Linked DNA regions of Rattus norvegicus. The protein of the gene in region 1 interacts with the protein of each later gene in a pairwise test. Links are inferred from orthologs where the notes say so. Each region holds a gene or a part of one and is shown in the gene's direction. Other genes may lie near its edges. The genes, in order: C5h1orf94, Gcc1, Gse1, Rbfox1, Banp, Mapk1ip1l and Hnrnpf.

The links.
Region 2: the proteins of C5h1orf94 (region 1) and Gcc1 interact in binary tests that used the Homo sapiens proteins (3 or more experiments, as listed by UniProt). The two-hybrid records come from large-scale screens. The link is inferred for Rattus norvegicus from reciprocal best matches to the Homo sapiens genes C1orf94 and GCC1.
Region 3: the proteins of C5h1orf94 (region 1) and Gse1 interact in binary tests that used the Homo sapiens proteins (3 or more experiments, as listed by UniProt). The link is inferred for Rattus norvegicus from reciprocal best matches to the Homo sapiens genes C1orf94 and GSE1.
Region 4: the proteins of C5h1orf94 (region 1) and Rbfox1 interact in binary tests that used the Homo sapiens proteins (3 or more experiments, as listed by UniProt). The link is inferred for Rattus norvegicus from reciprocal best matches to the Homo sapiens genes C1orf94 and RBFOX1.
Region 5: the proteins of C5h1orf94 (region 1) and Banp interact in binary tests that used the Homo sapiens proteins (3 or more experiments, as listed by UniProt). The two-hybrid records come from large-scale screens. The link is inferred for Rattus norvegicus from reciprocal best matches to the Homo sapiens genes C1orf94 and BANP.
Region 6: the proteins of C5h1orf94 (region 1) and Mapk1ip1l interact in binary tests that used the Homo sapiens proteins (3 or more experiments, as listed by UniProt). The two-hybrid records come from large-scale screens. The link is inferred for Rattus norvegicus from reciprocal best matches to the Homo sapiens genes C1orf94 and MAPK1IP1L.
Region 7: the proteins of C5h1orf94 (region 1) and Hnrnpf interact in binary tests that used the Homo sapiens proteins (3 or more experiments, as listed by UniProt). The two-hybrid records come from large-scale screens. The link is inferred for Rattus norvegicus from reciprocal best matches to the Homo sapiens genes C1orf94 and HNRNPF.

The regions. Positions count from the first base shown.
Region 1 is NC_086023.1:145,586,295-145,589,794, reverse strand, and holds part of C5h1orf94 (uncharacterized protein C1orf94 homolog), read left to right. Parts: coding exon 1-302; intron 303-3,500.
Region 2 is NC_086022.1:57,999,386-58,003,685, reverse strand, and holds the start of Gcc1 (GRIP and coiled-coil domain-containing protein 1), read left to right. Parts: upstream 1-1,500; 5' UTR 1,501-1,897; coding exon 1,898-2,929; intron 2,930-3,922; coding exon 3,923-4,300. UniProt on the Homo sapiens protein: Probably involved in maintaining Golgi structure.
Region 3 is NC_086037.1:65,529,160-65,532,659, forward strand, and holds part of Gse1 (Gse1 coiled-coil protein), read left to right. Parts: intron 1-287; coding exon 288-400; intron 401-606; coding exon 607-877; intron 878-2,085; coding exon 2,086-2,202; intron 2,203-2,816; coding exon 2,817-3,188; intron 3,189-3,500.
Region 4 is NC_086028.1:8,996,592-9,000,891, reverse strand, and holds the start of Rbfox1 (RNA binding protein fox-1 homolog 1), read left to right. Parts: upstream 1-1,500; 5' UTR 1,501-1,729; coding exon 1,730-1,816; intron 1,817-4,300. UniProt on the Homo sapiens protein: RNA-binding protein that regulates alternative splicing events by binding to 5'-UGCAUGU-3' elements. Regulates alternative splicing of tissue-specific exons and of differentially spliced exons during erythropoiesis.
Region 5 is NC_086037.1:66,950,961-66,954,460, forward strand, and holds part of Banp (protein BANP), read left to right. Parts: intron 1-809; coding exon 810-926; intron 927-2,386; coding exon 2,387-2,562; intron 2,563-3,500. UniProt on the Homo sapiens protein: Controls V(D)J recombination during T-cell development by repressing T-cell receptor (TCR) beta enhancer function. Binds to scaffold/matrix attachment region beta (S/MARbeta), an ATC-rich DNA sequence located upstream of the TCR beta enhancer.
Region 6 is NC_086033.1:23,023,559-23,027,567, forward strand, and holds the start of Mapk1ip1l (MAPK-interacting and spindle-stabilizing protein-like), read left to right. Parts: upstream 1-1,209; 5' UTR 1,210-1,343; intron 1,344-2,887; exon of another isoform or gene 2,888-2,986; intron 2,987-4,009.
Region 7 is NC_086022.1:152,767,538-152,771,528, forward strand, and holds the start of Hnrnpf (heterogeneous nuclear ribonucleoprotein F), read left to right. Parts: upstream 1-1,191; 5' UTR 1,192-1,445; intron 1,446-2,926; 5' UTR 2,927-2,987; exon of another isoform or gene 2,988-3,991.

The DNA.
Region 1 (3,500 bases):
CAGCAAGCTCCTGGCTCAGTTCCCACTGAAGTCAACTGAAATGTCCAAGGCCCCAGACAACAAGATGGTGCTGGAAGAGACCAAGGTCATTAAGGACTTCCTGCAGAATAGCATGTTCAATGGCTCCGGACCCCGGGAGTCCATGGGGCTGGGCCCATTCCTGCTGCTGCCACCCCCACCTCCTCCCGCAGTCCCCGACAAACTCCCCGAGTTCTCTCCTCCGAAGAGGCAGCTCCCAGTGTTTGCCAAGATCTGCTCCAAGACTGAGGCTGACCCAGCTCTTGAGGGCCACCACTGGATTGGTGAGTGGGGCTGAGAACAGGAAAGTGAGGGGGTTTTCAAGGAAGAGAGCCTTGATCAGGAAGCTGATCAAGGCCATGGTGTGTCTTTGTGCAAAGCAAAAACAATGCAGCCTCTCTGGTTGTGTGTGTATGTGTGTGCGCCTAAGTGGTATATGGATGTTCATGTGTGGATAGATACACACACGTATATGTCTAGAGGCCAGAAGTAATGTCAGGTGACTTCCTCTGCACCTCTCCATATTCTTCACACACACACACACACACACACACACACACACATTTCTGTCTTCAGACATATCAGAAGAGGAAGTCAAATCCCATTACAGATAGTTGAGCCACCATGTGGTTGCTGGGAATTGAACTCAGGACCTCTGGAAGAGCAGTCAGTGCTCTTAACCACTGAGCCATTTCTCCAGCCCCCCTCCGTCTTATTTCTTAAGATAGGTAGGGTCTTATACTCACCAAACATGAAGCCCACCAATTCAGCCAGAGTGGCTGGCTCGGCAACTCCAGGGATGCTGACTCTGTCCCCAGCACTAGGATTACACACATGTGTTTCCGCACCCAGCTTTGTATACAGATGTGGGAAATCCAAACTCAGGTTCTCAGGCTGGTGTGAGAAGCATTTCACTAAGTCAGCCATCTTTCCACACCCTGCAAGACACATAATTTCTGATTTCATTAGGTACCCAGAGCATACTGGAGGATTTATTTACCTTATCAGGAAAGAGCCCAGCCTTGAGTCTAGGCTTGGAGAGAAAATTGATTGGCATATGGGGGTCACTTACCTTTTTATGGAGACACCCATCCTGGTCATCAGGACTGCTCCACCCTCCGTAGGGCATAAGTTCAAACTGTTGGTCCTGGGATTTGTTCTCTGAAGCTCTAGAACCTTAGAGAAGCATATTTTTAGCTCTTGAATAGGAACTCTGGTCATCCCAAGGAACTCATCCCCCTCTGGTGCTCCCTGCCCATCTCTGGGACTCCACATTGTGCATGTTCAGACTGGATTGCAGAGCCATCTGCCCACAGTCGCCAGTCTCTAGAAGAATAGATTATACTTGCGCCAACCAAGAGAAAGGTCACCCCCAGGCTGTAGTGTGATGCTTAACTGACAGTGCCTGTCTAGGGAGGGCTCACAGCCCTGAGAAACAGGAACAAGGTCACCTTCCCAAGTATTCTATATTCTGGAGCAGTGGAGGGACCCCGGGAAATCAGAGCTGAGGTGACAAGCTGGACATAGTACTCAGCAAACCTGGAGGAGTCACAAGGCTTTGGGATGATGGCAAAGGATGGAGGAGGCTTGAGCCCTCCCCGAGAGGGAGAGAAACACTTGCCCTCTCCTTCCAGAGGGGAACCTTCATGTTCCTCGATGAAGGGACTGCAGAACAGAGGTATCTTCTCCACTTGCCCTCCCCACACTCAGAGAGTGCCTTGTGTACAAACCCGCGGGCTAGGTGTGCCAGAGAAATCTTTGTTCAGGGTGAGCATACTCATTAGAGAAAGCACAGGGTGTAGAGCTGAGGGTGCCTGTGTGTGTGTGTGTGTGTGTGTGTGTGTGTGTGTGTGTGTGTGTGTGTGTGTTGGTAAGTGTGCTTGTCCTGAGTATGTCTGTATAGTTATGAGGCAAAGGGAAGACAGACAAATGAGGAGAGAGAGAGGTGGGGATGGGAGAGGGGGAAGAGAGGGGAGAGGGGGAGGAGAGAGAGGGGGAGAAAGAGAGAAAGGGGAGAGAGAGGGGAGAGGGGGGAGAGAGGAGAGAGGGGAGAGAGGGGAAATAGAGGGGAGAGAGGGGAGAGAGGGGGGAGAAAGAGAGAAAGGAGAGAGAGAAAGGGGAGAGAGAGGGGAGAGAGGGGAGAGAGGGGGAGAAAGAGAGAAAGGGGAGAGAGAGAGGGGAGAGAGGGGAGAGAGGGGAGAGAGAGAGGAGAGAGGGGAGAGAGGGGGGAGAGAAAGAGGGGAGAGAAGAGAGGGGGGAGAGAAAGAGGAGAGAAAGGGGAGGGGGGGACAGGGAGGCCGAGAGGCCAAGAGGCTGAGAGAGAGGCAGAGGCAGAGGTAGACAGAAAGACAGAGGGAGAGGGAAAGGGACAGAGAGTTCCCAGATGCCAGAGGGGTCTTGCAGATGTTGTAGCTGTGTGAGTGGCTGCAAATATGCTGGTCTCTGGGGAAAATGACTATTATTAGTGGCTATATTACTTCAGCGCTCTAGCTGGGGGCTAAACTCAGCAACCAGAGGAACTGCTGGAAGAGACTCTGGGGACATGCTCTGCTAAAAATGTCCCTGGCTGGAGCAGTGCTTCCCCTTTTTTGGGGGGGGGCAGGGAAGGTAGGGCCCAGGCCCATGCAGAGGCCCCGAGGGCTTGCTGGGTTGGGCTGGGCTATAGAGGAATTCATGATATGGTGGAATCACGTCCATTACCATCGGTAACGCTGAAGCACAGGCCCTCCCGATCTGACTGTTACTAGAGTTCCCAGGTGCTTCCACTGTGTCCAGAGCAGCTCATAGCCATCCACCTGCAGGCAGACTTCTCAGCCAAGCTCTGTCGAGGTGTTCAGAGACAGCCAGTCTGAGGAAGGAGTGAGGGGGTAGAGAGGCCAAAGTCCACTTTCTGCTTCTAACAGATAAATGCCTTAATAGTAATTATGTAACACTTGCGAGTACATGTATATAACATACAATTTATGTGTACACACATTTATCAAGCTGTCTCTATTTCTTGGTTCCAGGAACCCCTCAAATACCCATTCAAAGATGCTCAAGAGCCTTATACACAGTAGCACACAGCTCCCTCCCTCCCTCCTACACTCTGTACATAATCTATGGATCACCACTGGTGCCTAATCCAATGTAAATGCTGTGTAAACAGTGGTTACACCATTGGTTAGGGAACAATGACAAGTAACTCCGTATGCGTTCAGTGAGGGCACAATTCTGCCTTGAGTGTTTCGCATCCATTGTCCCACACACGGAGACACTCCAGTTTTGAAGAAAGGCTGCAACACTGAAGGGAAATATCTCTGCTGACATGTCAGGTGTATTTGCAATAAGACCTGAGTCTGGCACCCACTGAGTCCTTCCGTTGGGTGACTCCAGTCACTTAGGATGAGTCACCTTGTTCCTTTGATGCTCCTGCCATTTGTTTGTGATTGTCCAGGCCAGTGACATCTTTCTGATAGCCCCCAATGAGAGTCTTGCTAAGC
Region 2 (4,300 bases), on another chromosome or scaffold:
GAAACACTATGTAGCCTTGGGTGGTCTGGAACTTGCTATGTAGACCAACCTGGTCACGAACTCACAGAGATGCGGCCGGCTTGGCCTCCTGAGCAGATTTTTATTACAGAAATATTTTCTTCAAACGCGTTCTCTCTCTCTCTCTCTCTCTCTCTCTCTCTCTCTCTCTTTCAGAGTGAGCCTCCTCACAGGCTTGGTATCTTCATAATATCACAGGAGTCTTCTTTGTTTTTAGCCCCTCCCCACTTTTATGTTGTGTTCGTGTGTGGAGGTGTGTAGAGCTCAGAGAACAACTTGTAGGGGTGTGTTCTCTCCTTCCACCGTGTGGGTCCTGGTGATAGAACTTAGGTCAGGTCACTGGGCCTGGTGAAAATCGTCTTTACTGCTGAACCATCTTAAAAACCCCACAGGAGTCTTGATGGAATGGACAAAAGCAAAGAGTCTTGATGGTGCCCTCCGGAGATGAAAATCTTTTAATGTCTTGTCACCCAAGATGAAATCTAAATGCCTTTAAGTTGGGTCCTACCCTTTGTTCCAGATTCATCAATAGCCACCCACCTCCCACACCATAAGCTTCCTGGGCAAGTCAGGCTCACTGATAGATACCTCAGAGGTTCCTGTAAACGTTTCCGCTTTTCTTGATGCTGGTTTCCCACATTTGCAGTTTGGCAGTCTTTACTCATTCCTCAAACTTCAAGTCATTTCCCCTAAGAGTCTCTGTCCTTCTGACAGGTGCCTCGCCTCTTTTATACCCTTCAACTATACCCTTACATACTATACTAGTGTGAGGGCAGCATCTACTTGTTTGCATGTCCTTGCTGTTAGGAGTTTCTCGGGACCAAGGCCATGTTTCTTCAATGGTGCCATCAGGCATAGCATTTAGTATGGTGAGAGGCAGACTGAGATAGGATTCCTAAACTTACTAGCTGAGTGACATTGGGCATGTTACCCCTCTGTACATTTACTGTATGTTCCAGTAAATGTAAATTGGTGCTAATGATACCCTCTGAACAGAATTTTGCAAAGACTAAATAGCAAAAACTCTTGTGAGACAGCCCCCACCCCAGCATATGCTGGTATGCAAGATGGACCTTATAGCTATATAATGTCCCTCTTACTAAGCAGAACTAAACAAGGGAGCTATTATGTTAACTAGGTACTGGGCTCGTTTTCCTAGTATGAGTCCTAACTGTTGCCCTAAATGTTGGAAATTGCCCCAAATAGTTTGATGCGTCTTTCATCGTTTTTTTTTTTTTGGGGGGGGGGCAAATGCAGTGTGACGTCGCCCCCTGTCGCTCACTGGTGGTAGTTTGAGGGCAAAGTTAGGCATCTTCTCCAAACAACTGCTCAGGTGATCTTGACTTCGCTTTGGGTAACTATACCTACAGGTTACTCTCTCTCCAGGCCACCAGCGAATACTGGGTGCGGAAGCCCCACCCATCTCATGCCCGCCGGGGGCGGGGTCTGTGGCGTTTTGCTGTCGTCACTTCCAGTGGACCCGGAAGCGTTGTTGTCCCAGTTGTTGGGAAATCGTGATGGAACCGGTCTTAGTGTAAATCCTGGGCTGATCGTGGGCGGAGGGAGGCGGGTCTAGGTTGCGGTGGCCAGGCGAGCAGCTAGGGCGGCACAGGATCAGGGCCTGTACCGGAGAGCCCTGGCTGAGTGTTCCTGCTAGGCCAGCGTCACTCCGCATCCAGGTTGGAACTGTTTCCCACCTTCGGCCTGGCTCTCACAGTGCTTTTGCCTGGCCACCGCGGCCCCTCATCCCGCCCGGACCGCTGGACGACCGGGTGTATTGCCTGCAGCCAGACGATTCTCTCTGCTTTACTTCTAGCTGTTGTGGCTCTGTCCAGGGCTGCAAGAACGCTGACGTGGAGCATCCCACTCCGGAACCCTCATGGAGAAGTTTGGGATGAATTTCGGGGGCGGCCCAAGCAAGAAGGATCTCTTAGAGACCATAGAGACACAGAAAAAGCAGCTTCTCCAGTACCAGGCAAGGCTCAAGGATGTGGTTCGCGCCTATAAAAGCCTGCTGAAGGAGAAAGAAGCCCTGGAGGCCAGCATCAAGGTACTGTCGGTATCCCACGAGGCAGATGCAGGCCTCTCAGGTGTGCAGCCTCCGGGTCTCACGTTTCCTGATTCTGTGGATGACCGGTGCTCCACTCACAGTGAGGATAGCACCGGAACTGCCACGAGCTTGGATACCGCAGCCAGTCTTACAAGTGTCAAGGGTGAATTTGGGGTTGAAGATGACAGAGTGGCCCGTGGACCACTTCCTCCAAAGTCTGAAGAGGCCAGTGGGTCAGAGAGTGGCGTTAGCAGTAGCAGTGGGGATGGGCCATCTGCGGGTAGTGAGATAGACAAAAGAGTGCATCAGCTGAAGACTCAATTGGCCACTTTGACTAGCTCCTTGGCTACAGTCACTCAGGAAAAGTCCCGAATGGAAGCGTCTTACCTGGCGGATAAGAAGAAGATGAAGCAGGACTTAGAAGATGCCAATAAAAAGGCAGAGGAAGAGCGGGGCCGCCTGGAGGGAGACTTGAAGGGGCTGCAAGAGCAGATAGCAGAAACCAAAGCCCGACTTATTACACAGCAGCACGATCGCGCCCAGGAGCAGAGTGACCATGCCTTGATGCTGCGGGAGCTACAGAAGCTTTTGCAGGAGGAGAGGACCCAACGCCAGGACCTGGAACTTCGGCTAGAAGAGACCAGGGAAGCCTTGGCAGGGCGGGCGTATGCAGCTGATCAGCTAGAAGGGTTTGAACTGCAGACCAAGCAGCTGACCCGTGAGGTAGAGGAGCTGAAAGGTGAGCTGCAAGCCATTCGAGAGGAGAAGAACCGACCAGATCCCCGGCTGCAGGAGCTTCAGCAGGAGGCTGCCCGTCTTAAAAGCCATTTCCAGGCCCAGTTGCAGCAAGAAATGAGGAAGGTAATTATTTTTATGTCCTTCAAACAGTTATTTTAACTTCCATAGGAAATATTAGTATCATTTTTCTCTTTTGGTCATTAGATAACTGTCGTATATGTGCACGCTCCTGTGCGTGTGTGTGTGTGTGTGTGTGTGTGTGTGTGTGTTTCATGAGGCAGGGTCTTCTCATGTAACCAAGTCTGCCCTCATAGAGATCTGCCTGCTTTTCCGTACCAAGTGCTAGTATTAAAGGCACCCTCTTCTCTACTTAGAACAGGGTTTTGTTCTAGTCAAGGAATGCCTGATGCTTGTTAGTGGGTGAGTGCTGGGATTGTGGTCGGTTCCACCTTCCTGATATGCACACTGATATTTGATGTCAAGTGAGAAAGTCCACTAGTGAGTCCTAGGAAATCTTGTTTTGTGTGGTGTCCTTTTAACAGGATGAGGAGTTTCTGAGTATTTCTGGGTTCAAGCCAAACAGCTCTATCTAGGCCTCTGGGTGTTGGCATCTTACCAGTGTGGGCTGTTTGAGGCAGTATAGTGACAGCTATTTAGGGAAAGATTGTGTGTGTCCTGAGAAGTGTGTGCTTATAGGTAGGAAGGAAGCAAAGGGGGTTTTCCTGGGAGAAGCGTCTCGTGTATGCGCTCGGTTGAGGTTTGCCTGTTTTAGAACTAAAACTGTTTTTGCAGTGTTCCCTTTCAATGGAGAGAGGGATCCAGGTTGGTTTTCAGTTTCCAGGAATGTTGGGAAAGGGAAAGAATGTTATGCGGCTTCTTTAAATGATTCGGAAGGTGCGGGACTAACAGGAAGGAACACATTTTGTATTCAAGCTTAGTGAAAAGTGGGAAACTGTGGTAGAAACAGCACATATACAAAGGAGTTTCAATTATAAATCCCGCTTGTTCTGGGTCATCCCAAGCCCTGTTCACTTCTGTCTTGCTCCCCCATATCCGGTTGACTGTAGGGTTTTGTGACTTTCCTGGACGCCTTGTCACCTGTTCTTTGCTTTGCAGACAGCCCTTGCAGAGGACCAGCTTCGCCAGCAGTCTCAGGTAGAGGAGCAAAGGGTAGCAGCCCTGGAGAACCAGATCTCTGAGGTGTCTGAACTGCTGGGCACCTATGAGAAAGCCAAGCAGAAAGACCAGCTGGCCATCCAGAAGTTGAAGGATCGAATTTTACAGTTGGACTTGGAGAACAAGACACTGGCCCTTGCAGCCTCCAGCCGGCCCTCTCTTGACATCCATGGAGACGAATCCAGTCTGGATATCAATGTCTTGAAGGACAAGATGGAGAAGCTCAAGAGGCTCCTGCAGGTTGCAGCTAGGAAAAGCCAGGTGACCCTGGATGTAGAGAAGCTCTGTGACCCTGATATAATGGCCAACTCAGAGGCT
Region 3 (3,500 bases), on another chromosome or scaffold:
CTGCCTTCCCATGAGGCTTACCAAGCAATGGACATCAGGCCTTTGTCAGGAATGCTCTGCCCTGCGCCTAGGGAGCATCCCGAGTTTGAGTCTTGCCTGAGTCTTGCCGCCCTCGGCTCACTGCAGGTGTCCACGCAGATGGGAAGAAACCAGGCCCTCTTAGCAAGGGTCCTCACAGGTGCCAGCAGGCCCAGCCCAGTGGCCTCACTCCCATGCCCCCAGGTGCACGTGTCCATGGAGCATCCTGGGTTCTGAGCCTGGCTCAGTGCACCCATTTCTGCCATCAGGGTACTACTATGACCTCGATGACTCTTACGATGAGAGCGATGAGGAAGAGGTCAGGGCACACCTCCGCTGTGTGGCTGAGCAGCCACCCCTCAAACTGGACACGTCCTCTGAGGTAACAAGTCGACTCTGGCATGTTCTGGGGCTGGCTGGGTAGTGGGTCCCCGCTTTGGGCCTACCTCTTGGCTTCCAAACCCTGCAGGCCATTACCTCTATGGCCTAGCTCCAAATCAGACTGCATGGGCCACGGGACCCCTGGGGCTGTGAAAGCAGTGTGGAGGGCAGTGGCTTCACACTCGATTGTTTTCTTTCCCAATCTAGAAGCTAGAGTTCTTGCAACTTTTTGGCTTGACCACCCAACAGCAGAAGGAGGAGCTGGTGGCTCAGAAGCGCCGGAAGCGGAGGCGAATGCTGAGAGAGAGAAGCCCGTCGCCACCTGCCATTCAGTGCAAGCGACAGACGCCTTCTCCCAGACTGGCTCTGTCCACCCGCTACAGCCCGGATGAGATGAACAACAGCCCTAACTTTGAGGAGAAGAGGAAGTTCCTGACCTTCTTCAACCTGACGCACATCAGTGCAGAGAAGAGGAAAGGTATGGCCTTGCTCTGGCCTGCACACGTAGAACAGGGTGCTCCTGGGTAGCCTGAGCTACAGAGCTGTCCTCTCAGCTCTGATAGGCTTCTGTCCCTTGGTGTTTCTGGCACATGTCTTGTTTGACTGTGAAGGCTGATTGATGTGCCTGTATGTTTCAGAGTGTGTCCAGGACTTCTCCCTGGGACGGAGCGGGTGTGCTCAGGATTCACATCCCCAGGCCCTGCCTCTTGGGTTGGACAGTGATCTCTACTGAGCACTGTTTCTGATGCTGACAGGCCTGGAGAGTGAGCTCGTGGGTGAGCCAACCCCACATCATAAGCACAACTTGCTTACCTACCCAAAAAGATGTTTCCAGATCAGTGTGGTACCCTAGGGCCATGTGGGAGAAGAGACTTGGGACTGGAATTCACAGTATGGAAGACGTGGCATGGCCAAGGCATGCCGAGGCTACCTTGATCGGCTCATCACCGTCCCGGGCTGAGGTGTTGATGTACGGCCATGCTCCTGTGTGCCTCATGCCCCTTAAGGGCACTGGCCCCTTCTGGAAGACTCCCGGGAACACAGTGCCTCCAGCTCTTCAGTTGGTTTGACAAGCTTCTTTATTGGTGGTGGCAGTTTCCTTTTCCTTTTTAACAAGCATGGTGGAGGTCTCACTTTCCGAGCAAGGGTTAGAGACGGGCTGACTGCCAGCACATGCCCCTGGACTCGTGCCTAGTTGTTTGCAAGCCTGGTTTTTCACCTGGCTTTGTGTCTAAAGGACGCCATCGGCACCGAAGCCTCTTAAGTTTCAGAGTTGGCAGGAAGAGCCACAGAGACGGGGATCTGCGGTATGGGACACTTGTCGGGTCTGCACGCCTTCGAGGGAAATGGCTGTGACCCTAGGCAGAGAGCACACTCCCTCCCTGGTCTCTGCTCTTGTATCAGGGCCATCCTTGGTCTTCAGATCAGGATACCTGCTGAGAAGGAAGTCACCATGGAAACCTCCAGGCAGCCACTGCTCCTGACTGCAAATGTGGCTGTCCCGGAGCCCAGCAGGGACAGCCAGCTGCTGTCACCTGCTTCTTCCTGTCTGTCTGCACAGCTGGCCGTGGTGCTTGCTTTTGGTGCCTTTTGGTGTGAAGGGCTTGTACCCGCCAGTCACGGTGGCCAGACCCCACCTTCCTCCCCTCTCAAAGTGCTGCTAACCTGGGACTGCTTTCCTCACAGACAAAGAGAGGCTTGTTGAAATGCTCCGTGCCATGAAGCAGAGGGCACTGTCCGCAGCAGTAGCAGACTCAGTGGCAACAAACTCTTCGAGGGACAGTCCTACCATCTCCCTGAGTGGTAAGGGAAGGACACCCCACCCACCAGCGTCCTGTAACTTGGGGAGGTGTCGCTCGAAGTCTTGTCTTCGTGGTGAACATGAGTACTGGACGCGGGGCTTCTCTCCATCCTGGTTGAGCCGAACCTTAGGACACAGTGGGCGAGAAGCGCAGGGGAAGGCACTGACTTCCATCAGCTGCAGGCTGTAGCCGTCACTTCCCAAGAGGACGGGTCCAAAGCCCGCTGAATGCCGTACCTGGGCTCTCCAGACTGTCTCCAGCACCTACTTTCTCCCTGCTTCTCTGCTGCTCTCCAGCTGAAGAAAGCTGAATCCTTGGGGTCCAGCCTCTTGCTAGCTCATGTCTTCACCTGCTTTCTCTGATTTGGATGAAGTTTCTCCTACCTTCTCAGCGTTTCCTGCTCTCTCTCCCCACCTTTCCCTTTGGGAACTGTTTACGGTCAGACTTGCTGCTAACCTGGCCTCTCCTCACCTAAACTCTAACCTCGTGCACACTGTTAACGTAGGGTACAGATACTGGGTCTGTAAGTGTACGCTCTAGAGATCAGATCGGTAGTGTCTGCACGCCTGTTTTTCCACAGTTCATAATGTTCCCCTCATTTTCTATCTCTCAAAGAACCAGCCACACAGCCAGCTCCTTTAGAGACGGATCAGCCTGCCGGGGTCCCTGCCTCCTTGTCAGATGTCCCAAAGGCCGTGGAGACCGGAAGACTGGAACAGCTCCGGCCCCAGGAGCTCTTGAGAGTCCAGGAGCCAGCTCCTCCCAGCGGTGAGAAGGCCAGGCTGAGCGAGGCCCCTGGGGGCAAGAAGAACCTGAGCATGCTTCATTACCTCCGGGGCGCTGCGCCCAAGGACATTCCTGTGCCGTTGTCCCACAGCATCAACGGGAAGAGCAAGCCTTGGGAGCCCTTCATGGCCGAAGAGTTTGCACATCAATTCCACGAGTCCGTACTGCAGTCCACACAGAAGGCTCTGCAGAAGCATAAAGGTAACAGGCCACGTGTCCCGTGTCACCTGTTAGTGCTGGGCAGCACAGGCCATTTACACAGTGACAGTGCCTCTTAACCCTTAATGCCCATGAAGCACTTGGGGAGGGGAGAGACGAGCCTCTGTCGCTTTCAGACTTGTAGCATGACCTCTGATGTACCTGCTCAAGAACCACACGCTTGGACAGTTAGCAAATGACAGTTCAGTGAGGTCAAAGCAAGTGTCCTCTGTGCATGTAGGGCCACAGCTGTGGCCTTCCCAGCATCCATGCGGGTTCACTTGGAGATCTGGTTCTTTGCCAAGATACTGTGTG
Region 4 (4,300 bases), on another chromosome or scaffold:
GATTAACTCCCTCTATTGCACACTGCAAGGAGGTGACGAGATATTCTGACATTGTTACATGCCCAAATAGATCTGGAGTCTACGAGGCAAATGAAGTTGCTCGAGACGGTAGAGCTAGGAAAGGGACACCCCAGCTTTCACTTTGCATACTCCTCAACACCTTTCATCTCTGAAAGCGAGGGTGGTGGGAGGGAATTCATCTTTGTTTAATATATAGCAGATTCATGTATCACAGCTGGGACACACATGTAAAAGCCATGTGAAATCCCTTCACACATGAACACAGCACCAGCAAGTCTGCACCTACTCTGTGGCCCCCAAGATAGCTAACACATTTCTAGATCACAAGTCACAGTGCAATCCAGCAAGACAACTAGGGATTGTGTATGAGGTATTTTAAATTCAGCACTGCCTCCTACTGGCTGCAAAGTGGCTGACTAGCGTGCGTTCGGGTTCCTCATGGTTACTTGGCTTCCTGGGTCCGGGATTAGCCCCTGCTTCAGAGATGTGGAAGGACTGAGTGCAATAACCCACAAAACTAATTTACTCAGACTTCTGCTATTATTTCCTTTTAGCTATGAATTGCCTCTTCAAACTGAAATCGAGTGAAAAAAGGGGAGGAAAGTGAGTCAAATATTTTGAGACAGTTTCGTGTAGCCCAAGCTCGCCTAAAACTTGCTATACAGCTGAGCTCCCGATTTTCCTATACCCACCTCTGAGTTCCAGGACCACTGAGATTTGCTACCACATACTGATTATTCTTAGGTAATTTTTGATCAGCTGCCCACATGAACCTGCTACCTTTGAGTGGGTTTTTTGCTGTCATTTTTCTTGTTGTTGTTCTTGTTTCTTTGTTTGGTTTGGTTTTTGTACATAACTGTGGGGGGATGAGTATAAGAATGAAAATGTATGTGCAATGTCGAAGGGTGATCTCCAGGTATCTTCCTTTATTGCTTTTTACTTACGTAAAGAGAGGGTCTTTCACTGAACCACTGAATGTGGAACTTTCTGTTCGGCTATGCTGGCTCACAGGTGAGACCCAGGATCCTCCTGTCTCCGTCTTCCCAGTGCTGGGAATACACGTGTATGCCACATTGCTTGACTTCATACACGGGCATTGGAGATCCAAACTTGGGTCCTCATACATATATGATAGTCCATAAGTTTACATAACAATCAGTTGCAATTTAGAACTTAAACTTAGGCTCCGGTGATGGTTTATATAGGTAAAGATTTAAGTTTTCTAAGTTGAAATTGATTGTCCTGTAAGCTTACACATTTCTATTCATTATTCTCTCTAAAAATCTCATGTAGACCCAGCCCCTTGCAATTTGGCCCAGTTCCTCAGGACAAATGTCTTTTCTTTTTCCCTGATTCCCTGTCACTCCATCTCCCTCGGTCTGAGAACTAAATTAATGAAGAGTATTTGGTTAGTCATGTTGGGCGAGCTGCTCCCAAAATAGCTCCTTCCATTTTGGTAGCTCCGACCCTGCAGCTGCCGCGTCCCTTCCTTGTCTGTGAAGAAAACTTTCACATTAAGAGTTGCTGATGCAGGATTTTCTTTCCTTTCCCCTCTCCGCCGCCTGTGGATGAGCACTTGGCTCCTGACAGAAGCGATTTGGCTCTCGGCTTTGTAGTTGAGAAGAAGTTGGGTCTATAGATTTCTTTCCCCCTCTAACTCTCTATTGATGTGTTCAGCCTTGGAGGGAATAAAGCCTCCATTTAAAGCATGTTGGCGTCGCAAGGAGTCCTTCTGCATTCTTATGGCGTGCCTATGGTTGTGCCTGCTGCCCCCTTCTTCCCGGGACTGATGCAGGTAATTCATGGCTTTTGCCAGCAAGCAACTTAACTCCAGAGTGCTCTGAGTAATAATTGGAATTTTTATGGTTGAGAAAGCAAACACTTTTAATACAGGAAGAGAAAAAAGGCAGCCCTCGTGTAGTCAAAGGAAAGACAGTAGGAAATCAAAAAGATGGATCACCTTAATCTGGCTATTGACATCTCTCATGGATGAATAAATGGTGTAGTTGAGCTGTATTTGCTTGTATTGATCTGGGTGCTGTTTAACATTCATGCCTCTGCTTCGGGAGGTTGACCAGGGGGCAAAAGATTTGCTCTCTTCCCCAGCTTTCTGAGGGACTGGGTCTCCCAGAGCAGATCATGAGGCTCAGTAACTTATCATGTTGTGGCTTGCTTAAAGGCTTTAACCCCGGAAACCGAAGGGCAGGAACTACAGTGCTACGGAGGACACCCCACACAGGTTGTCTGTTTGCAGAGAGGCTCCCCCTTCTGAATCTGAGAGGTGACCCACAAACAAGAGAGAACATTGAGAATGGTTTCTTTAGGAAGTTCAGGGGTGACTCTGGAAACCCCATGCCAACTGTTCTCGGCAGCCAGGGAGAAGTTGGAATGCCTGTTGTTTTGACTGCTAAGGCTATTATTCTGTGTGCCGAGAGGTTCATGTGCTAGCGAGAAATTGGGACCTGTTTCTTTGCCTTATTGTACCGCCGTGCTGTCACTCAAACCCGTTGCTTCTGGGTGTATGCCTGCAGTTCTCTGGAAAGCCGACATCCACTTGTGATAGAAGTGGGTCATTGTAGGAAGCAAGTGGCTATTTGTTGCTGTTCTTTGGAAATAACCAGCCCTGGGTAATAAATTCTAAATCTCCTTTCTGTGGGAAAGGAAAATTAAATATATGCAGGACACTTTAGCTTCTGTCCTGTCGTACTACCCCTACCCAACACTCTCTGTTTGAGAGTTCTACAAGACCAATTCATTAATGACGACTTCTGCGGAGGATCCCAAACAAATATTCTTCTTGTTCTGTGACTGTGACTGTGACTGTGACTGTGACTGTGACTGTGACTGTGACTGTGACTGTGACTTTTTATTAACTGTCAGAAGCTGGGTGGTGGAATCTATCCAGCAGTTAGTCCAGACAACACCAGAACTGCCATTGACCCTGGATGTATGCTATTGCTACACTTCTATATTATAGGTAAATAGGCCAGGCAGAGAATAGTCCTGACAACAAGGAAAAGAATTTGTGGCCAGATGGTGACATGAGACTTGGGACGTGAGGGTGAAGCAGAGTTACAGTGCTTTTTGCTTCTGTTGGAAATTTGGGGTGAAGGTCAAAGGCTGGAGTTTTGTCGGCCCCTGTGCTGCCCTATCCGATAAATAATTACAAGCAAATCGCTCATTTCACTCCATGCTGATTGATGCTGAAATTGCTTTTGAAAGTTCTCATAAGTTCCTGTTATAGATTAAGTGCTGGTGCAGGAGAATAACGGTACCCACCGAAATGGGTGAATGTAATCAGGTTTAATGGACTCGAGAGCTTGTTGGGAATTAAATAACTATCGATTTGCTGGGATGTTTCTGTCATTACAAAATGCCACTCTGAACGTATTACCCCAATGATAGATGAGAAGACGCCAGAGCCAACAGAGAAGCTGGGAAGGCACTATTTCTTCCTCTTTGGCAGAATGTTCGAGAAACATAACTGGTTAGTTTGGAATGGAACAAGTTATTTTACTTGCAAATGTTAACCTGATCCATTCTCATTTGTTTCCCAAATGAAAACTTCTGAACTAGTGACCTACAAGCTCTTCTGAGTGTGTCAGTGAGGAGCCTCTGATGAGCTACTGGGACCCACTCCACTGCAAGGCTGTGCACATGGAGGTGCTAGCCGTCTTGCTGTTTGTGGAGGCCACACCACTTGACTCGAAGAAACTACAACACCTCCCATTGCAGTTCTGTTCATAAGAAAAGGATGTGGTGTGATAGAAAGGGGTAGGAAAGCCTAGCTCTCCTTTCACCTTCCACTTCCTGCCCTAGCTACCTTGGCACTTAGCCTTAGGGAGTTTCACCCAAGTCAAGAATAAAGACCCTTCTGCCAGGATTCAAATTTCTTTAGAAACTTAGTAATGTCAGCAAGACAACTAAACTACCGGGAGTGTGGACTCGTCCTTGCTACGACCCCTTGTGCTTGTATATTTGGGAACAGCATCAGTGGTTATGTGCAGGGGCCTCTGGCAAGCTGCTTGAGGTACTGTTCACAATTTTACAGTCTTCCCAAACACAACAGTCAACAGTTCTGTGGCCAAAGATATTCTGTTTTGAATTGATATCTGAGACACTTTTGAAATGTGGGCCGGCATGGCTCATTTTTTGTGCAGTTAAAGAAAAAATAATTTGCATCTTTAAGTTTTAAGAGAGCACCAGACTCATGCTGCAGTCAGTGCTTACAGATGCACATTTAGTTAGGTCCCTCTCATGGACTCTTCTTTAAAGTCAG
Region 5 (3,500 bases), on another chromosome or scaffold:
CTCTCCTAGAATTTCTCCTCAAACCCAGGCCCCAAGACCTTTTGTTTCGGTTCTGTGCTCCTCAGAGGGCTGCGGGTGGTGTGTGAGCATGTTTCCCGCTGCTGCCCGTGGGTTGGTTGGCTGCCCAACTCTAGAGGTCAGATGTGGAGTGACGTGAGGAAGGCAGCTGCGAGACCAACCTGCCGGATCAGAGTTTTGGAGGGATGCGTTGGAAAGAGGCTGGGGAGCTGGTTCAGTGGGTAAGCTCATGCTTCTGCAAGCTTGAAGATGTGAGTTTAAGTCCTTAACATGCATGGAAAAATCCAGGCCATATCTTGTAGGCTCAGCACTGGGGACTTGGGACAGGGAGATCCCAGGCTGACTTAGCAGCCTAGCTGAGTGGACTAGGTTTCTATTCAGTGGTAGACCCTGTTTGAAAAGAGTAAGGCAGAGAGCAGTGGAAGAAAACTCCCAGTACCTGCTCTGCACTCCGCACACAGCTCACATGTATGCGGTGCACATAGGTGCCCTGCGCACACACATCACACATACACACACACACACGGGGAAATGAAGAGGAACCTGTTTTCATGAAACCTGTTGCTGAGATGGCTCGCGGATGCACAGCCCACCCTGCCCACATTTGTGTCAACCAAGAATACCAACCAGCAGGAAGCTGGAGAGCCTTGTCTCCAGTTTAGTTGTTCTGCACTGGACCCCATTCTCTGGTGTTGGCCCAGGAGCTGACCGTGTTGAATGATTCATGTGCTCTGACAATGACTGTTGTTGTTTTAAGGTCTTCTTTTTCTTGTGATTCTTTTGTTTCATAGCGTCGTCCCCCAGACTACAGTAATACTCAACAATGATCGGCAGAACGCCATTGTAGCCAAGATGGAAGACCCATTGAGCAACAGGGCACCGGATTCCCTGGAAAATATCATTAGCAAGTCAGTAGCCATCACCACCCACCTTCCCTGCCACTGTCCTGAGGCTAAGTGAGCGTTCCTGAGCCAGGGTCAGTCTGAGCACATGTCCATGTCTGCAGTCATAGGGCCCATTCTGTTAGCAACCACCATAGCTTTTAGGTCAGGAAGGGCCAACTTGGTGCTTAGCAATGGTGGGGTGAGACAGTGCAAGGGTGGGCAGCCGTGAGGACCGCTGGGCTGGATCTGGTATGTGAAGAGGCTAGATATGGCCTGTGGTCCGCTGAGCACTCCCATCTGTCTGTCCTGCAGTTGAGCCTCTTCTGAGTCTGGTAAATGACACACTTGTGTTGACGTTGTGACTTTTTCCTCATCCCTGTCTTTTGAGATGTGTTGAATGGACCTTCCGTCAGTCAGAAATGAAAGGGCACAGCAGCCATGCCCTGCGGGGCCTCTGCCCCTGGCTCTGGCTCTGTGCCTCAGGAAAGCTTGGTCACCTTTTGATTACCAGCAGTGTTCTCACAGATTCCTGCCTTCCTTTTTTTCTCTGTGGGGTGTGACTCCTTCCAGCTTTGTCTGGCTTCTTGTCCTGGCCCAGGTCTCTAGGAAACTGGAGGCCTGGGGTTGCTGTGACTGTGCTGAGTGGGGTGCTGGAGGCCTGCCACTCTGTTGGGGAGAGGACGCGCCTCCTGGCCCACTCTGAGGTCGTGGGTGTGGAGTGTCGAGGAGCCAGTTCACTGTGGGTAGCTCAGAGGGGTCAAGTTCAGGAAGGACCTCCTGCCTCTGGGGATGACCAGAGTTTTAAGGCCCCTTTGACTTTGCTGATGGGAACTTGGGCTTTGTTTCCTCTGTGGTGTGTAGGAGGCCATGGTCCAAAACGTTGACAGAATCATTCAGAAAACAAATCAATCTTGGGTCTTTTTTGAGCACTTTCTGCTGCTAGCTGTTTGGCTGCTGCTTTACTTCAGGGCCCTGCACCAAGAATGGCTCCCAGAGGACTCCTGACATTCTTGATGGCCTTGGAAGTTGCTTCTAGGGTTTTGTCTGTGGGAGTCAGAGGGAGTGTGGAGGTGTTTTGGAGGCCGAGTCATCTTGGGTGTCTGACAGCATGGATGATGGATGGATGGGGACTCTGATACACGGTGACCATTGTGCATGTGAGGATGGCCTCTAAGGTCTGAAAGCCAGATTCTAGGCTGAGTCTCAGTGAGTTATGGTTTTATTTCTTTTGTGCTGTTCATTTTTACGCAGTTGCTTTATATTCTTCGTCTTCTTGGTCTCAGGCTGTTGGTGTGCTATGTTGCTGCTCATCTCCATGGAGGGTGTGTGTGGGGACATACCGCATGTTGGGGACCCACCTTGTGCATTGGTCCATGCTCAGCTAGACAATGGGATAAGTCTACATAACAGTGGGAGTCAGGGCTATCTCAGTGTACCACTCATGTCCTCTCACAGCCTGGGCTGCTGTGTTTGTTTCCCGCCAGCGCTGTTCCTGGGCGTCGGCAGAATACCATCGTGGTGAAGGTGCCTGGTCAGGACGACAGTCACAATGAAGATGGAGAGAGTGGATCAGAGGCCAGTGACTCCGTGTCTAACTGCGGCCAGCCAGGAAGTCAGAACATTGGAAGCAACGTCACACTTATCACCCTGAACTCTGAAGGTGCGTTCGCCATAGTTGCACCTTTGTGCTCTTCTTTTGGAAGGGGCTGTGCTTGCTGTTGATAAGAAATGACACAGTGACAAAAAAGTTTAAGCAGCTGAAGTCCTACCGTGACTGCCAGCACCTGTGCCTCTCTCCTGTGACCATGCCTTTTTCGTGTTACTGACATGTCTGCTGTGGAGATGCCTTCTTGGATGCTCTGCTTCCTGAGGAGGAAGAGCTTCCATAAGCACGAACCAGTCACCTCTGCTCACAGTCCCTGGCATTCCTCTGTTGGTTGCCAGGCTTAGGGAGTACAGTCTCCTTGGGCTGGGCTGAGATCTGCAAGTAGCCAGGGAGAGCAAGTGTGGGGTCTGCCTTCCCTAGACTCCTCCCATGATTTCTTGGGGGCCCCCATGGGGTAGGGGCAGGCTCTTCCCTGAAAAGTCTGAAGTACCTCCTTGCTTCTAACTGACAGTAATGTTGAGAGAAAGGAAGGAAGGAACTCTGACAGACTAAGCTCTGTGTGCAAATCCTACCCATCGACTTTGTTTACCTGTGAGCCTTGGGAGGCTTTTGTTTCCTTATCTAAATGATTGGTTTTTCCTATAAGCACAAAATTTTGCTCTTAGGTATGTGCTGTATCTGAAATACTAGAAATAATGTCTGACTAAATTGCAGTGTTGGGGTCGAAGCTCGCTACCACACACTTGATGGTACACGTCACAGCGCACATTCTAGCGCTTGCTAAGGCTTAGGTTGTTGTTCCCAAAGCTCGTGTGCTCAGAGCGTGACCACAGCCCTGCCTCTGGGGTGGCCTAGGAGAGGAGTGGGCCACAGAGGTGGGTCCTAAAGAGGAGTGGGTGGGATCTAGCCCCCGTGTGGCCCTTCCTTTTGTGTCTTAGCTCCCATGGAGTAGGGAGCAGCCTCCGCTGCCACAGTCTTCCTCCATGATGGTG
Region 6 (4,009 bases), on another chromosome or scaffold:
AACTCTAGTTCTGCATATTCGGGCTCTGACAATGAGTAATCTTTATGAAACTCTAGTTCTACACTGACATACATCGAAATATCAAATCAAAAGTCTAGGAAGGAAAAAACTAGAAAGTTTATGTATATGCTCAGACTTTGCTTTTCAGTATGTCAGTTTTGAGTCTCCCAGAAACAGAAGCCAGTCGCAAAAACCAACAACCCTCATCTTAAAGCATTGGTAATGCTGTGACCCTTTAATACTGTTCCTCATGTTGTGGTGACCCCCAACCATAAAAATTAGTTCATGGCCACTCCATAACTTTTTGCTACTGTTTTGAATAATATAAATATCTGATATTCAACCCCTGTGAAAGAGTCGACTCCCAAAGGGTTCATGACCTACAGGTTAAGAACCACTGTTTTCAATTTAAAACTTAAAGGGGAATAAGAGATAGCTTATTCTGGAGCCATTTTGAATGAGGATGACCCCAGAACACACATTTGAGTTACCTCAAATTCTATGTCCCAACCTGAAACCAGTATCAGGACGTTTTTAGCTTTACAGAACAGAGAATGCCATAAACCAAGCAGTTTAAAACACACTGGCGGGTACATTGGAGGATAGATACATCAAGATAGAGGTAGCTTTTCTGTAGATCTAAGACACTATCCGATGACATTCTTGGCTTTTGGATTATCAGAAGCTAGTTGCCTGTTAATAGATTCTAAAAGTTTTTAATCCTTTTGCCACAAGATGTTCGTTTTGACGCGCAGTTGACTGTTCTGGAGGGCTAGCACTAGCCCAAGAAAAGGTAATCGACCTCTGCACCTGCAACATTCCAATCTCTCCACAGTACTGAAATTCTAATTGGCCACTCGGTTTCTGCAGACAGCTTCTTCAAAGGTTTTCATTCTCAAGACCTTTAGAAAGACTTCCCTTTTCCCTCATCTCTTTACCCTCGATTTTAGCTGGACTACTGACAGTCAGCTTGGAGCCTGTCTGCAAAAACCGCTGAACATAGGGAATCCAAAATGCGCTCGCAGCCCCTGGGATGCGGCGAGCATCACCAGCCTAGGGCTTGTCCCATTCCCGCGCTCCACACGGAGGAAACAGTCCAGGCCCCAGCAGCCACGCGGCCCTGCCTGCAGTCCCATGGGCAGCCCGCTGGAGGCGCAGTGCAGCTGGGCGGGGCGGGCGGAAATAACGGGCGGCGGGGCCAGCCTCCCTGCTTCCTTTTCCGGTGCCGGGAGGAGCCGTGTCGGTGCCGCCTCGGTCCATCAGGCCTCCTGCGGTTCTCCATTGCCCGTCTCTCTGGATTCACCGTCGCCACTGTGCCGCGCCTAGGACTCGGATCCTGCCGGGTGAGTCCGCTCGGGCGCTTGCGGTGGGGCGCGAGGCTTGGGGGGAGATGATGCGAAGACGCGGGGTCCCCGGGGGCCTGGAGGCTCTAGAGCTTTCGATGGGGAGGATCCACCGGGGACCAGGCGACCTAGAGGTCTAATGTCGCTCCTGTCGGGTTCCGGGGCGCCCACATCATGCCAGACTTGGGGGGTAGGGCGGGAGCGGGCGACCCTCCCCCACATCCCGCCGGCGTGACCGGCCTGGGGCTGGTTCGCTCCGGTTGATCCCGGATTCCCTTTGTTCCCTTAACCCTAAAGGGCAGCTTGTTTGGCACCCCTTCCACCAATATCCTAGTCACTAATTTCTAATAAAAAACGGCAGTGGAGGGGAGACCCTTACGGGGAGGTCTGGCGCCTGATAATTCTGTGTGACAGGATTCTTGCTGTTCGTAATTACCCATTCGTTAAATGACTACCCGGGACAGAAGATGCCATGGGCTGAGTGACGTTTTCCTTTTGAAGGATCTGGGCTCAGCTAGAACGCTTGAACCATTTTTTTTTTTCCCTCCCTGCCTTGAAAACCGAAAGTAATGTCTTCACTAATCCTGAAGTTGAAGTATCAAAACCAGGCCCCACCGTAGATATGTTACAGCCTACTTCACAGAAATACACACGTGTTGGGCCCCTCCATCCCCCATGTGTTAAAGGCCTGTTCTGAAGCCAAACCCTCATTACCGAGTCGCCTTCAGAAGTCTTTGTTAGTGGGTCTCCTTGGGTGGGGAGGAGGGCAGTTTTCTCATTCGTGGAGTATAGGAGCCATTCTCTAAAACAATTTGCTTCAAAAACTTTTTAATGCAGTTGCAGAAGTTAGAATGTTCCTTTTTTGATTACAGAAGGAATCGGTGCCCAGCTTCTTTCTCCTAACTGAGAGGTTGAGCCTTTGGGGCCAGTAAGCTTAGGAATTCAGCAGTGTTCAGATTCTGTGATTGTTAGTATAGAGGGGCAGTAACAGCCATAGACTCGGGGACTGTTAATCAGTTATTAGTATTTGTACAGGGTGGGCCTGGAGTTAGGTGATAAAGCGCCAGCCTGGCTTGCTACAAGGTCCTAAATTCCCAAAACTTTAGGGGATGAAAAAATGCAAATATCGTAAATATTCAGACTACAGCTGGGGGTGAGTGGAAAACGAAATGGATAAATAATGTCTGGTCAGCTTTTGCCACCAAATAAATACTTAGGAGATTGTATATTTTTTAAAGTTTTCTGCTTTGAAAATAGACAAAGGTTTGGGGCCATGTTGTATCGGTTTTAAAAGCTAATCTTTGTTGAGTTTTTTGCTCAGTGTCAGGCAGTGACTTAAAAGATTTATTTATAGATTTCTATAAGGCTCAGCAAATCTGTGGAAAAATACCCATTTACTCTTACGTATAAGACTCAGAGACCTGGATTTGACGGTAGGCCAGACAGGCAGTCTACTCTGGTAGTCTTTTTGTTCTATGTGTATGAGTGAGAAAGAGGAGCTGGAGAGAGATGGCTCAGGTTGAAAGCCATCGCTGTCCTTGCAGAGGACTGGAGTTCTGTCCCAGCATTCACATGAGGCAGCTCACAGCTTCCTAACTCCAGGGAATTCAGCGCCTCTAGCCTTCTTGGGAACCTGCATGGAGGTGAGCAAACCCATGTATACCTTTTTAAAATGTTAAAAATCACAAGAGGAGAGAATTGGGTATTTGTTGCTCATTCCGTCTTCCAGTTTTAGTTGGGTCAGATGCAGCCCTGTGTGGTTCCACGAATCACCGCCTACTCTAACTTTATGAAGAAACTGAAGTTGACTCGGTCAAGTGAGCTAAAGTATTAGGACTCTTGTCCAAAGCCCTCTGCTAAAACTTCTTACTGCTTTCTGGTATTCCAGCCAACCCGAACTGCTTCTGCTTTTCCACAGACTGTTCTCTCTGGTTTTATACAAACTGATCTTACCCTGGAGCCTGTCTTTAACCTTCTACTCTTACTTTTATTCCAATCTACAGAGACACCACTTCTCAAGAATGCCCATGCCATGCCACCAATTACTCTAAAGCCCAGCAGGATTGGAACTTGTGTTCCAGTGAGTCGGAATAAATTATAAGAGCTTCTACTGTGAACTTTAGGTGTTCAAAAACATTCCAAACTTTTTTAGGTACCCAGTTATAAAATGGAATATAATCTGGTAAATTACCCAGTACTAAATGCTAACAATTCTAATCAGAATCTGCTTTCAATATAATATATGCTAATGTAGTACTCAAAATTAACCTTTAAGCCCCACCCATCCAAGGACCCAGTAACTTCCTGGAATGCTAAGAGTAGTTCTTGGGAAATAATAAAGCCTTGTGGGAAAGAATGGTGCCAGTGAGTTTTGTCCATAAAAACCCCTACAACATGTGTCTCCAGGCCACTGAGCTGGAAGTTCTAGGAAGTGTTCCTGACCAAAGCCCATCGCTTGGTCAGTATTTAATACCTAATAAAGCTTCCTTCAAATTTGGCCCAAAATAGTGTGATTGGTTTTTCGCTGGTGAATCTCAGAATTAACACTATCACACTCACCCATACAAAAATCACAAAAGTCCTGATTTTCCTTAGTTTCTCTGAATTGCTTGCCAATTATCATCAATAACCCAATGGATTTTTAGCTTTCTTAAACTTTGAGGATG
Region 7 (3,991 bases), on another chromosome or scaffold:
TTTCAGAGGCCAATTGCTTTGAATTAAGATTTGTGGTTGCCTGTTGGGTGTAGATTTTATAAGGTTCATTTTTTAAAATATTTATTTAACGTATATGAGTACATTGTAGCTGTCTTGAGATACACCAGAATCTGTTAGAAATGGTTGTGAGCCACCGCGTGGTTGCTGGGAATTGAACTCAGTGCTCTTAACTGCTGAGCCATCTCTCCAGCCCCTATAAGGTTCATTTTTATACATATGGGCCAACTTAGGTTTAAAAGTCAAGCACTCCTTCCACTACGGCGATACTAGGGATCCAAACCTAGTCAGCCTCTAGGGCTCTGAGGGAACTCGAGTAGTCCCGGCAGGTCTCGAAATCAGCTTGGCTCTGCCTCCAGAGTGATGGTATTAAAAAAATGTATGTACCATACCGGTCATTAGTTTATGTAAAAAAATTTGAGACAAGGCTAAATGATGGGATTAAAGGCGTGCCGCCACCAAGTCGAGTCGGGAGTTTTTAAAAGTTAGGTTATCGTGGAGTCGGCGGGCAAATGAAAAAAGTGTAGAGTGTCTGCAGGTTTCCATTCTGTACTCCGAGTTGATTTGGTTTTACTTGGCTGAGTCTGTCAACGCTTCGTTGCATTCGCCTTTCCAACTGTAGCGGGTAGTCTGTACTTTGCTCAGGTGGCTCCTTTACCCAGAACTCAGCGAGGAGTCTTCCCCTTTCCTTTCCCTCCTTCCCCCACTTCCGGCGCCGGCCAAACCCACCGTTCGCGGGCCACACCTGCAGGCACGCTTTTCTCATTGGTGACATATTGGCGGGCCCGGCAGGGCACTTCCTCCTCTACACCCCGTGACCCGAGTCCGACTGCCGCTGTAGATCACGCGGCTGCTGCTTCCCGGACTCCGGACTCGAACGCCCGTCTCGGCGTGGTGAGCCCCGCTTCCCGCCCGAGCCCCAGGTTACCGGCTGCGTACTTGACCTGCTCACCTTAGAAGTTTCCCTCTTCGAGCTTTTCCACGCTTCGGCCTGCGCGAGTTCTTACTCCAGCCCTCTTCCCCGCCCTCTGGATCTTCCCCTCCCCCACCCTCCGAGGCTCAGGAGCCTCCCTTCCCCCCGCCCCCGCCCGGAAGCTCCCGCCCGAGCCCGCGCAAGCCCCGGGGCGGACCTTCCTGCCCGGCCGGCGCTCGCTGCGCGGCGCGGTCGACTACCGGGCGAAGGCCGCGGAGCAGCGTCACCTTGCCCTCCGCCCTGCTTCCCGCCAAAACGCTCGTCTCAAGGGGCTCCGCTTCCGCAAAAGCGTTTCCCCTGGTCATTTGAACTTCCATTTCAGGTTGAGAACAAAAAGAAGATGCACCTGGACTTTCCCCGGAGCCCTCTGCGTTTTTAAGGCGTCGGGTGGAGTTGGGGTTCGTAAGCCGCGTTCGTTATTGAAAATAGAAGTCACTTCTACCTTCCTCCCGTGGTAAGTTTCAGAGCAGAAAAAGGCAGCAGCTTTGAAGCCGCGGCTCTCCTGGTCTTAAGAGTAGAACTTTCTGAGTAAGAAAACCTGCCTGGATGCGCTCCCGGCGTTCCGGAGGTTAAAACTCATTTACAAAATGGAGGGAGGATGAGGGCGGGCTCCCAATGAAAACTCCGGCGACTTCCTGGAACACAAAGATGCATAGAGGAGGGTGCAGCAAGGCTCCCACCAAGCGGGCCTGAACAAAAGAACTAGGTGGGTGGCGCTTGAGCCGCCCTGTTTGTTCAGCCGATAAACTTAACTAGTCCAGGATTCAGAGGGCGCACCTCTTTTATCTTACCTGGATCTACCTGAAGGCAGTGAAAATCCAGTTTAACCAGTATCACTGACTGGGTAGCTTGTTAGAAAAAAGTCTCAGCCTGTTTGTTTATTTTAATAGTGCATTTTCTTTAGTGTTTAACTTGTGGAAATGTAGGCCTAGCCTGGCTATAGTATAGGAGTCAGTCGCCCAAAATGATGCAAATGGTTTCAGTAGCGTGTCTTGCAATTAAAATCAAATGTCTGGGTGTTCTAACAGTACTTACAAAGACCCGCCATGCCATCTTCTCTTTTACTGGGCATGTCTCCACAGTTCACATGTTCACGGGTCTCGTGCCAGTGGCTTAATGTAGGTCTAGCTGCTAGCTGCATGCAGTATAGTGTCTCCAGGGAGGCCCACAGGTATTGTCTACCACACTAGAAGTAAAAGGTTGGAAAAAGGGGATCGAGTCATTAGAATTTCATGGACAGGAATATGGTTGAAACTCATTAAAGTGAAGCCCTGTTTCAGGGTCTTTGAAACTATTTTCAAAATGGGTTTTTAGCACCGACACCCCAATATCTTGCATAATTTTGGAAAATGAGACAATGCAACTGCAGTTACCCCTATTTTAAGACAACAGGCAGAATAGCCTACCACATTTCCAAAACGAAGAATGCAGCATAATTTGTCATAGGATTCAACCCCTTTCCTCACCATTTGGGAGAAGCTTTGTCACATAGGTTATGATAAAGCAAAAGGCATTGGAGACCCTTCCCCACCTCCAGCATGGAGAAGATAAATAACAGGAGTGTTTTTTCATTTCCAGAGGAAATTCATGCTGGCCTGGATGCCTATGCTACTGAAAGGGTTGGAAGTCTTGGCATAAAGTGCCCACTAGATCCCTGCTCTATTTAAATTTTAAGTTTCTCCTACATTTAAACTAAGCTTAAATTAGTTCTGCTAAGTTGTTTGCTGATGTCCTCTACCCATGAAAAGATGAAATATAAATAACCAGGAAACCTAAATATGTTGGTCCTAGGGCTACAATGTATTTCTGGATTTGAGAAAGAAACTTAGCTTGCTCTGAGCCTAGCTCCCAGGAGGTCCCCTTCTGTACGATGATGAATGGAATCTGAGGCCACGAGACCAATCTTGGGTTTTGTGTTTGTTTTTATTTTTTAAGGAAAACTTGTTATCTTCCATTCTGTGTTTCCTACAGAAGGCATCTGTGGTGGTTCTTTAAGGTAAGCTACTAAAAGATACATTTAACTGTAAGACGATTAATTTGTTAAGCAAAGTTTAGTTTTCTTTGAAGAACTGTCAGTTTTAAATGCTTGGTGAGTTTACAGTTAAGTCAAACTAAAGAACTATGAACTTCTTGGGGGGGTGAGTAAAAGCAAGCTGTAGGTGTTGGTTGACATGTTACAGAAAAGAATGCTTTCTTCCCCTGTTGCTGAAACTGCTTATAAAGTACTTGTTCCTTATGCTTCTTACATGTTTTTAGCTTTGACTAAGCTGCTATACTCTGAAGGAAGGTGTTGACCCTAGGTGGACAGTAAATCCCTAGCTAATCCTTGACCTGCTGTGGTCTGTTCCCTCTGCTAAGGATGAAGTATTGGACAACAAAATTGTCCTAAGTAGGGTCCCAGTGTAGTTTTGAAGACCTTTTAAAACTACAGAGAAGGTTGTTATGAAAGTAGAAAGTCAGACTTATTGTGGGACGTGAGAAGATGTTATTGGAATGGTAGTTGCGCTTAGATAACCCAGAGGATTATCAAGGTTTAGCTGGACAAGGTTGGGCAGAGGATATTTGGGTGGAGAATTATTTGATGTGTCAAATCCTCCAGGGAACAGTGGGGAAATTAAAGGAACTAAGGAGTAAAAAAGAATGATGGATATAGATTAAGAATGTCTGTAGGATCCAAGGATTCTTTTAGTTCAGTCTCTGTTCTAATAACCAATGGGAAATAGGGCTTAGAAGTGGGGCATTGACATAATTGGGTTACAGTTGTTAGATAAATCTTAAGATTGTGATAGAGTAGCAGGGAGTGTAAGTGTTTTCATTAGAGTTAAGAGACGCTAGGAATATAGGAGTCAGGAATTTTGAACGAGTCCCTGTGGCAACACAAGGCTGCAATTCCATCTACCAGGAGGTGGTGAGGCAAAAGGTCTTAAGTTTATTATTATGGTCAGCCTAAGCAACTAGACACACAGTTGAATCATTTAAAAGTGGCTCAGAGGATTTATG